Callithrix jacchus: one gene and its partner. Each later gene encodes a partner of the first gene's protein in a complex. Links are inferred from orthologs where the notes say so. Each region holds a gene or a part of one and is shown in the gene's direction. Other genes may lie near its edges.

What was found. The genes of interacting proteins can lie anywhere in the genome.
Region 2: the proteins of PLOD3 (region 1) and COLGALT1 are in contact, whole or in part, in a cryo-EM structure (PDB 8ZGE), measured with the Homo sapiens proteins. The link is inferred for Callithrix jacchus from reciprocal best matches to the Homo sapiens genes PLOD3 and COLGALT1. Residues at the interface, in NP_001075.1 of Homo sapiens: Leu226, Val229, Val230, Leu231, Lys232, Phe233, Asp234, Arg235, Arg241, Gln261, Tyr264, Leu265, Pro275, Gly430, Ala431, Leu432, Arg440, Glu442, Glu446, Arg452; in NP_078932.2 of Homo sapiens: Ala36, Tyr37, Phe38, Pro39, Glu40, Glu41, Arg42, Trp43.

What each region holds. Positions count from the first base shown.
Region 1 is NC_133503.1:12,545,307-12,549,336, forward strand, and holds part of PLOD3 (multifunctional procollagen lysine hydroxylase and glycosyltransferase LH3), read left to right. Parts: intron 1-1,177; coding exon 1,178-1,275; intron 1,276-1,431; coding exon 1,432-1,533; intron 1,534-1,710; coding exon 1,711-1,836; intron 1,837-1,995; coding exon 1,996-2,117; intron 2,118-2,423; coding exon 2,424-2,528; intron 2,529-2,657; coding exon 2,658-2,783; intron 2,784-4,030. UniProt on the Homo sapiens protein: Multifunctional enzyme that catalyzes a series of essential post-translational modifications on Lys residues in procollagen. Plays a redundant role in catalyzing the formation of hydroxylysine residues in -Xaa-Lys-Gly- sequences in collagens.
Region 2 is NC_133523.1:16,291,469-16,295,993, forward strand, and holds the start of COLGALT1 (procollagen galactosyltransferase 1), read left to right. Parts: upstream 1-1,285; 5' UTR 1,286-1,351; coding exon 1,352-1,611; exon of another isoform or gene 1,612-1,678; intron 1,679-4,525. UniProt on the Homo sapiens protein: Beta-galactosyltransferase that transfers beta-galactose to hydroxylysine residues of type I collagen. By acting on collagen glycosylation, facilitates the formation of collagen triple helix. Also involved in the biosynthesis of collagen type IV.

The sequences.
Region 1 (4,030 bases):
CTGGGCACCCGGCCAGGGGTTTTACTTCTGTGATTTCATTTAACAAGAGAAAGGTCCCTGGTTATCCACCTCCTACAGATGAGGAAAGTAACTTGTGGAGGGGTTAGTGACTTACCTCAGGGGATGGGGAGAAAAGAGATAGAGAGGCCGGGCGTGGTGGCTCACACCTGTAATCCCAGCACTTTGGGAAGCCAAGATTGGAGGATCATTTGAGGTCAGGAATTCTAGACCAGCGTGGCCAACATGGCAAAACCCTGTCTTTACTAAAAAACAGTACAAAAATTAGCCAGGCATGTTGGCAGCCACCTGTAATTCCAGCCACTCAGGAGGCTGAGGCAGGAGAATCACTGGAACCTGGGAGGCAGATGTTGCAGTGAGCTGAGGTCATGCCACTGTACTCCAGCCTGGTGACAGAGCGAGACTCTGTCTCAAAAAAAAAAAAAGCAAGGAGGCTGAACACGGTGACTCATGCCTGTAATCCCAGCACTTTGGGAGGCCGAGGCAGGCAAATCATGAAGTCAGGAGTTCAGGACCAGCCTAGCCAACATAATGAAACCCTGTCTCTACTAAAAATACAAAAATTAGGCTGGGTGCGACAGCTCATGCCTGTAATCCCAGCACTTTGGGAGGCCAAGGCAAGTGGATCATCACCTGAGGTCAGGAGTTCAAGACCAGCCTGGCCAACATGGCGAAACCTCTTCTCTATTAAAAATACAAAAATTAGCAGGGCATGGTGGCACACGCCTGTAATCCCAACTATTCAGGAAGCTGAGGATGGAGAATCTCTTGAACCCAGGAGGTGGAGGTTGCAGTGAGCTGAGATGGCGCCATTGCACTCCAGCCTGGGTGACTGAGCAAGACTCCGTCTCAAAAAAAAAAAATGAGAGAGAACATGAAGAGGGATAGGGATGCTGAGGTTCCCAGTGGCACCCAGCTCAGTTCATCCTGCCCTTCCTCACCCAGCGGCTTCGATATGCTCAGGCAGGTAGTCAGTGGAGCTCTCTGAGCCAGCAGCCTGGTCAGAACTCGAAGGTTCCTGCCCCCCACAAGCCACACTCCAGGATAGTCCCAGTGTCCCTTTATCCCTGGAGAATTTGGGACCCCATATTTAGAAGAACGTGTTGCTCGGCAGCTCCCAGAGAAAGGGGGTCTGAATCCTGGCCTTTTTCTTCCCCAGATGAAGTGGTTTTAAAGTTTGATCGGAACCGTGTGCGTATACGGAACGTGGCCTACGACACGCTCCCCGTTGTGGTCCATGGAAATGGTCCTACTAAGGTGCCACCAGTGGCTTCAACCCCTGCCCTGCCCTGCCCCAACCCCTGGGCATCTCCAACCCTTCTGAGAAGCCGGCCCTCCCCAGCTCCCACAGCAGAGGTGCCCCACCTCCACCCTGGAGGCCTCAGCCACTCAGCCTCTGTCTCTCCCCAACAGCTGCAGCTCAACTACCTGGGAAACTATGTCCCCAATGGCTGGACTCCCGAGGGAGGCTGTGGCTTCTGCAACCGGGACCGGAGGACACTCCCGGGGGGGCAGGTGAGGCAGGGGTGCCGGGAAAGAAGGCAGCATGCTGAGCAGGAGGTGCAAGGACAGTGGGCTGGGTGTTGGTGGGGGCAATGCCCCTGAGTCCCCGAAGCTGGCAGGGTGGAGGGTGGGTGGGGGCGGCGGGAAGTCCAGGCTTCCCTCTGAGCACCTTCGTGTCGCATCTTCCAGCCTCCCCCCCGGGTGTTTCTGGCCGTGTTTGTGGAACAGCCTACCCCATTTCTGCCCAGCTTCCTGCAGCGGCTGCTGCTCTTAGACTATCCCCACGACAGGATCACCCTTTTCCTGCACAATAACGTGAGACCCCCCCGCCCCCCAAAGCCTCTCCCAAAGGACCCTTCCCCTGCCCTAATCAGCACTCCCGTGCCCCCACCCCCATAGCCTACCTGCACCCCCATCCCTCAAGGGCCGCCTCCTTGCCCTCTGAGCCCGTCCCCCATGTCAACCCCTCCCCAGGAGGTCTTCCATGAGCCTCACATCGCTGACTCCTGGCCGCAGCTCCAGGAACACTTTGCAGCCACGAAGCTGGTGGGGCCAGAGGAGGCTCTGAGCCCAGGCGAGGCCAGGGACATGGCCATGTGAGCAGGCACTGGGCAGGGAGGAGGGCAGGATGAGGGTGCAGGGTGGGGGTGGCTGCCACCCGCTGCCTGGCCCTCGCCTCACCTATCACCCTTCCAGCTCCTCCCAGGCTTCTCCACTCGCATCCTTGCAGTTCCCACGCTGTCACATCCCCTCCCCACCCTTGCTAGCTCACCCAGACAGCGGAGAGCCTGGGGAAAGAAGGCCAGATGCTGCCTCCCTCCTCTTCTCCTGGGGTGGGGCCAATTCCCCATCCCCACCTGCCTCCCTGCCTGCTGCTGTTTGAGCTCAGCTCTCACCTCCAGGGACATGTGTCGGCAGGACCCCGAGTGCGAGTTCTACTTCAGCCTGGACGCTGATGCTGTCCTCACCAACCCACAGACCCTGCGCATCCTCATTGAGGAGAACAGGTGGCTTGCCCTCTTTCCCTGCAGCCGGGGGGCACCCCAACAGGCCCCGGGAACCCCACTCCTGCCCTGGGCACTGGGCTCCCCAGGCCTGCTCTCTTCCACCCAGCCCTCACCCTCGCCTGTCCACAGGAAGGTGATTGCCCCCATGCTGTCCCGCCACGGCAAGCTGTGGTCCAACTTCTGGGGTGCCCTGAGCCCTGACGAGTACTACGCCCGCTCTGAGGACTACGTGGAGCTGGTGCAGAGAAAGCGAGTGTGAGTCCCGCCAGCCTGCAGCCCCCTCTTCTGACCCAGGGCCTGGGTAGACCCAAGCCTCCTAGTCACCAGTCAGAGGTGCCATGAGGCCGGGTGCAGTGGCTCACACCTGTGATCCCACTACTTTGGGAAGCCAAGGTATGAGGACTGCTTGAGCCTGGTGAGATCAGCCTGGTCAATATAGCAAAATCTTATCTCTACAAAAAATTTAAAGTATTAGCTGGGCATGGTAGTGAGAGCCTCTAGTCCCAGCTACTACTACAGAGGCTGAGGTGGGAGGATCACTTGAGCTTGGGAGGTTGAGGCTGCAGTGAGCCATGTTTGCACCACTGCACTCCAACCTGGAAACGGGGAGACCCTGTCTCAAGAAAAGAAAAAACAAAGGCCAGGCCTGGTGGCTCAATCCTGTAATCCCAGCACTTTGGGAGGCTGAGGCGGGCAAATCACTTGAGATCAGGAGTTCCAGACCAGCCTGGCCAACATGATGAAAGCCCATCTGTTTTTTTTTTTCTTTTTGAGATGGAGTCTTGCTCTATCGCCAGGCTGGAGTGCAATGGCGTGATCTCGGCTCCCTGCAACCTCCGCCTCCTGGGTTCAAGCAATTCTCCTGCCTCAGCCTCCTGAGTAGCTGGGATTACAGGCACACACCACCATGCCCAGCTAATTTTTGTATTTTTAATAGAGACGGAGTTTCACCATATGGGCCAGGATGGTCTCGATGTCTTGACCTCGTGATCCACCCGCCTCAGCCTCCCAAAGTGCTGGGATTACAGGCGTGAGCCAGTGTGCCTGGCCTTTTTTTTGTTTTTGAGATGAAGTCTTGCTTTGTCACCCAGGCTGAAGTGCAGTGGTGTGATCTCAGCTCATTGCAACCTTCACCTCCTGGGTTCAAGTGATTCTCCTGCCTCAGCCTCCTGAGTAGCTGGGATTACAGGCGCACGCCACCATGCCTGGCTGATTTTTGTATTTTGAGTAGAGATGGGGTTTCACCATGTTGTCCAGGCTGATCTCGAACTCCTGATGTTATGATCCGCCCACTTCGGCCTCCTAAAGTGTTGAGATTACAGGCGTGAGCCACTGCTCCCAGCAGTGAAACCCCAACCAAAAATACAAAAATTAGCCGGGTTTGGTGGCAGGCGCCTGTTAACCCTGCTACTCAGGAGGCTGAGGTGGGAGAATTGTTTGAACCTGGGAGGCGGAAGTTGCAGTGAGCTGAGATCGCACCACTGCACTCCAGCCTGGGTGAC
Region 2 (4,525 bases), on another chromosome or scaffold:
ATAATTTTTTGTATTTTTTTTTGAGACGGAGTTTCGCTCTTGTTACCCAGGCTGGAGTGCAATGGCACGATCTCGGCTCACTGCAACCTCCGCCTCCTGGGTTCAGGCAATTCTCCTGCCTCAGCCTCCCGAGTAGCTGGGATTACAGGCACGTGCCACCATGCCCAGCTAATTTTTTGTATTTTTAGTAGAGACAGGGTTTCACCATGGTGACCAGGATGGTCTCGATCTCTTGACCTCGTGATCCACCCGCCTCGGCCTCCCAAAGTTCTGGGATTACAGGTGTGAGCTACCGCGCCTGGCCTGTATCATTCTTTTTTCTTTTCTTTCTTTCTTTCTTTCTTTTTTTTTTTTGAGTCGCAGTGTAGCTCTATTGCCAGGCTGTAGTATAGTAATGTGACCTTGGCTCACTGCAACCTCTGCCTCCTGGGTTCAAGCGATTCTTCTGCCTCAGCCTTCCAAGTAGCTGGGACTACAGGCGGGCACCACCACGCCCAGCTGATTTTTGTTTTATTAGTAGAGATGGGTTTCACCATCTTGGCCAGACTGTCTCGAACTCCCAAATACAAAATCAGCTGGGCGTGGTGGCAGGTACCCGTAATCCCAGCTACTTGGGAGGCTGAGGCAAGAGAATCGCTTGAACCCGAGAGGCAGAAGTCTGAGATGCAGTGGCACAATCTCAGCTCGCTGCAACCTCCGCCTCCAGGGCTCAAGCGATTCTCCTGCCTCAGCCTCCTGAGTAGCTGGGATTACAGGCGCGCACCATCACGCTCAGCTATTTTTTTTGTATTTTTAGTAGAGACGGGGTTTCACCATGTTGACCAGGCTGCTCTCGAACTCCTGACCTCAGGTGATCCGCCCGCCTCTACCTCCCAAAGTGCTGGGATTACAGGCGTGAGGTCCAGAACCAGGATGCCAAATCCACGTTGCAGCAGAGGAAACTGAAGCTCAGGTCTCTAGGGTCCCAAACCAGGTCCTAAGTAGCCAAGCCCGCCGGGTGGCACAGCCCGGGTTTTATACTTGGGGAAGTTGGGGCGCATCAGGTTGAGGTCCGGGTGGTAGGAAGCGACTGGAGGAAGCGCGGATTCCTAACCCTAAAGCTAGCCTTAACTTCCCTTCCAAGCTCTCCCTCTCCAAGCGCTCTGTATCTTTAAGGATCATGCGGGGGCGGGGCGTCTTGGGTGGGGCTGTAGGTGACGTCACTCGGGTTTTGAGTCTCTGAGAGCGTCTGGAGGCGGGGCCTGGACTCCTCCCCTTTAAGGCGAGCGGCCGGGCGGGGCCCTGAAGACTTTTTTACCGTGCGGCCGGCGTCCTCCGGCACAAAAACGACTTAAAGGAGACGCGTGGCGCGATGGCGGCGGCCCCACGCGCGCGACTGCGGCGCGGAAGGCCGCTCCCGGCGCTGCTGCTTCTGCTGCTGGCGCCACTGCCGCCGGGAGGCCCGCCGGGCGCCGACGCCTACTTTCCCGAGGAGCGCTGGAGCCCGGAGTCGCCCCTGCAGGCGCCGCGCGTGCTGATCGCGCTGTTGGCGCGAAACGCGGCCCACGCACTGCACACCACGCTGGGCGCACTCGAGCGGCTGCGGCACCCGCGGGAGCGCACGGCGCTATGGTGAGCCGAGCCTGCCGTCCCCATCGGGCGGGTCCCCGCGAGCTCCCTGCTGGCTGTCCTCTTATGGGTGGGTCCACGCGAGCCCCTGCTCGTTGTCCCCTTAGGGGAGGGTTTACGCGTTCCCTGCCCGCTGTCCCCTTCGGGGCGGGTCTGAGATGCTTCCTGTTCGCTACTCCCATCGGGACGGTTCTACGCATGTCCCTGGCCGCTGCCCCAATCGGGAAGGGTCCACGTGTGCCCCTGCCTGCTGCCCCCATTGGGGCTGACCCACGCGTGCCCCCTGCCTGCTGTACTCCTATGAGGTGGGCCAGAAACAGCCCTCCCCACGTTAAGACAAGCGGAACCGATGGTTCCTTTAGGGTGGGCTGGGGACCCTCCTGCCTGCTTGACCCTATTAGGGCAGATCTGGCCTCGCTGACTGGGGCTTGTTCCATCTCTCTCTGGGACACGTACACCTCCAAAGAACAGAGCCCAGAGCCCCTATTGGGGCGTTTCCGGGGGGCCACATCTAACAGCCTTTCCGTGCCTGCTGCTGTTCTTAAGCTTGAAGTCAGCTAGGCTCCAGGCCCCAATCAGACCCCTGCTCTGGGACCGGCGGTGTGTGGGGTCCAGGACCAGATGGACCCGGAGGAAGCTTTCTTGGGAGGGAATGGGGCAGAGCTCTGAGGAAGTCTCTGAGTGGTGACTTCTCACTCCCCGCCTCAGTTCCTCAAATGGAAAATGGTCCGGGCGCAGTGGCTCACGCACTAATCCTAGCCATTTGGTAGGCCAAAGTGGGCAGGTCACTCGAGCTCAGGAGTTCGACACCAGCCTTGCCAACATGGCAAAACCCCATCTCTAGAAAAAATTAGCCAGGTGCGGTGGCCTGTGCCTTGTGGTCCCAGCTATTTGGGAGGCTGAGGCAGGAGAATCGCATGAGCCCAAGAGTTCAAGGCTGCAGTGAACTATGATTGCACTCCAACCTGGGCAGAGTGAGAACCTGCCTCTAAAAAAAAAAAAGAAAGAAAAGAAAATGAGTGTATTAATATAATTCTCGCTTTGGGTTTGTCTCTGAAGGTTAACCAGTTAATGGATGTGAAGCTGGTGTGTCTGACATGGGCTTGGCGCTGAGTGATTTTAATATTATTATTAGTGTCATTGCTGGTGTTACTGTCAATTTATTGGGTAGAATTAGCTCTTGGCACTACAGTCAAACTAAACTCCCAGATGTCCCTTTTCCTTCCACCTGATTCCCCAGTCTGGATAATCCAAATACACAATTGGTACTTAACAAACGTTTGTTGAATGAATGAATGACTATAGCCCACTGACGTGGGTGTGGTTCAGAGGAGAGGATGAAGGAAGGCAGGGGAGGGGGTTTATGAGATATACTGGTTTTTTTTGAGAAGGAGTCTTACTCTGTTGCCCAGGCTGGAGTGCGGTGGCTCCAGCAACTGCAATGATCTCAGCTCACTGCAACCTCCACCTCCTGGGTTCAAGTGATTCTCCTGCCTCAGCCTCCCGAGTAGCTGGAATTACAGGCTCGAGCCACCATGCCCGGCTAATTTTTGTACTTTTAGTAGAGACAGGGTTTCACCATTGTGGCCAGGCTGGTCTCGAATTCCTGATCTTGTGGTCTACCCGCCTCAGCCTCCCAAAGTGCTGGTATTACAGGTGTGAGCCACTGTGCCCTGCTGAGGTACTCTTCTGTTTTGATATAGGGTTTTACATTCATCGCCTAGGCTGGAGTGCAGTGGCGCAATCCCGGCTCACTGCAACTTCCCCGTCCTGGGCCAAATGATTCTCCTCCTTCAGCTTCCTGAGTAGATGGAACTACAGACATACACCACTGCACCAGATAATTTTTGTATTTTTTCTGAAGACAGCATTTTGCCATATTGACTAGGCTGGTCTTGAACTCCTGAGCTCAAGTGATCTGCCTGCCTCAGCCTCCCAAAGTGCTGGTATTACAGGCATGAGCCACCGTGCCCAGCCAACATTTGTTGGTGTGAGCTACTGTGCCCAGCTGGTTTATGATATATACATTTTATTTTATTTTATGTATTTATTTATTTTGAGACGGAGTTTCACTCTTGTTATCCAGGCTGGAGTGCAATGGCGCAATCTCAGCTCACTGCAACCTCCGCCTCCTGGGTTCAGGCAGTTCTCCTGCCTCAGCCTCCTGAGTAGCTGGGATTACAGGCACGCGCCACCATGCCCAGCTAATTTTTTGTATTTTTAGTAGAGACGGGGTTTCAGCATATTGACCAGGATGGTCTCGATCTCTTGACCTCGTGATCCACCCGCCTCGGCCTCCCAAAGTGCTGGGATTACAGGCGTGAGCCACCACGCCTGGCCTACATTTTATTTTTAAAATGATTTATTTATCACTTTTTGAGACAGAGTTTATAATATTTATAATAAATATTATTATTTTTCTTTCTTTGAGACAGAGTTTCCCTCTTGTTGCCCAGGCTGGAGTGCAGTGTCACAATCTTGAACCTTCCAGGTTCAAGTGATTCTCCTACCTTAGCCTCCCAAGTAGCTGGGATTACAGGCATGCACCACCAAGCCTGGCTAATTTTGTATTTTTAGTAGAGGGGTTTCTCCATGTTTGTCAGGCTGGTCTCGAACTCCCAACCTTAGGTGATCTGCCCACCTCGGCCTCCCAAAGTGCTGGGATTACAGGCATGAGCCACCACGCTATTTATTTATTTTTTGAGACAGAGTCTTTCTCTGTTGCCCAGGCTGGAGTGAAGTGGTGTGATCTTGGCTTACTGCAACCTCCACCTCCTGGGTTCAAGCGATTCTCCTGCCTCAGCCTCCCAAGTAGCTGGGATTATAGGTGCCCACCACCATGCCTAGCTACTTTTTATATTTTTAGTAGAGACAGGGTTTTGCCATGCTGGCTGGGCTGGTCTCAGACTCCTGACCT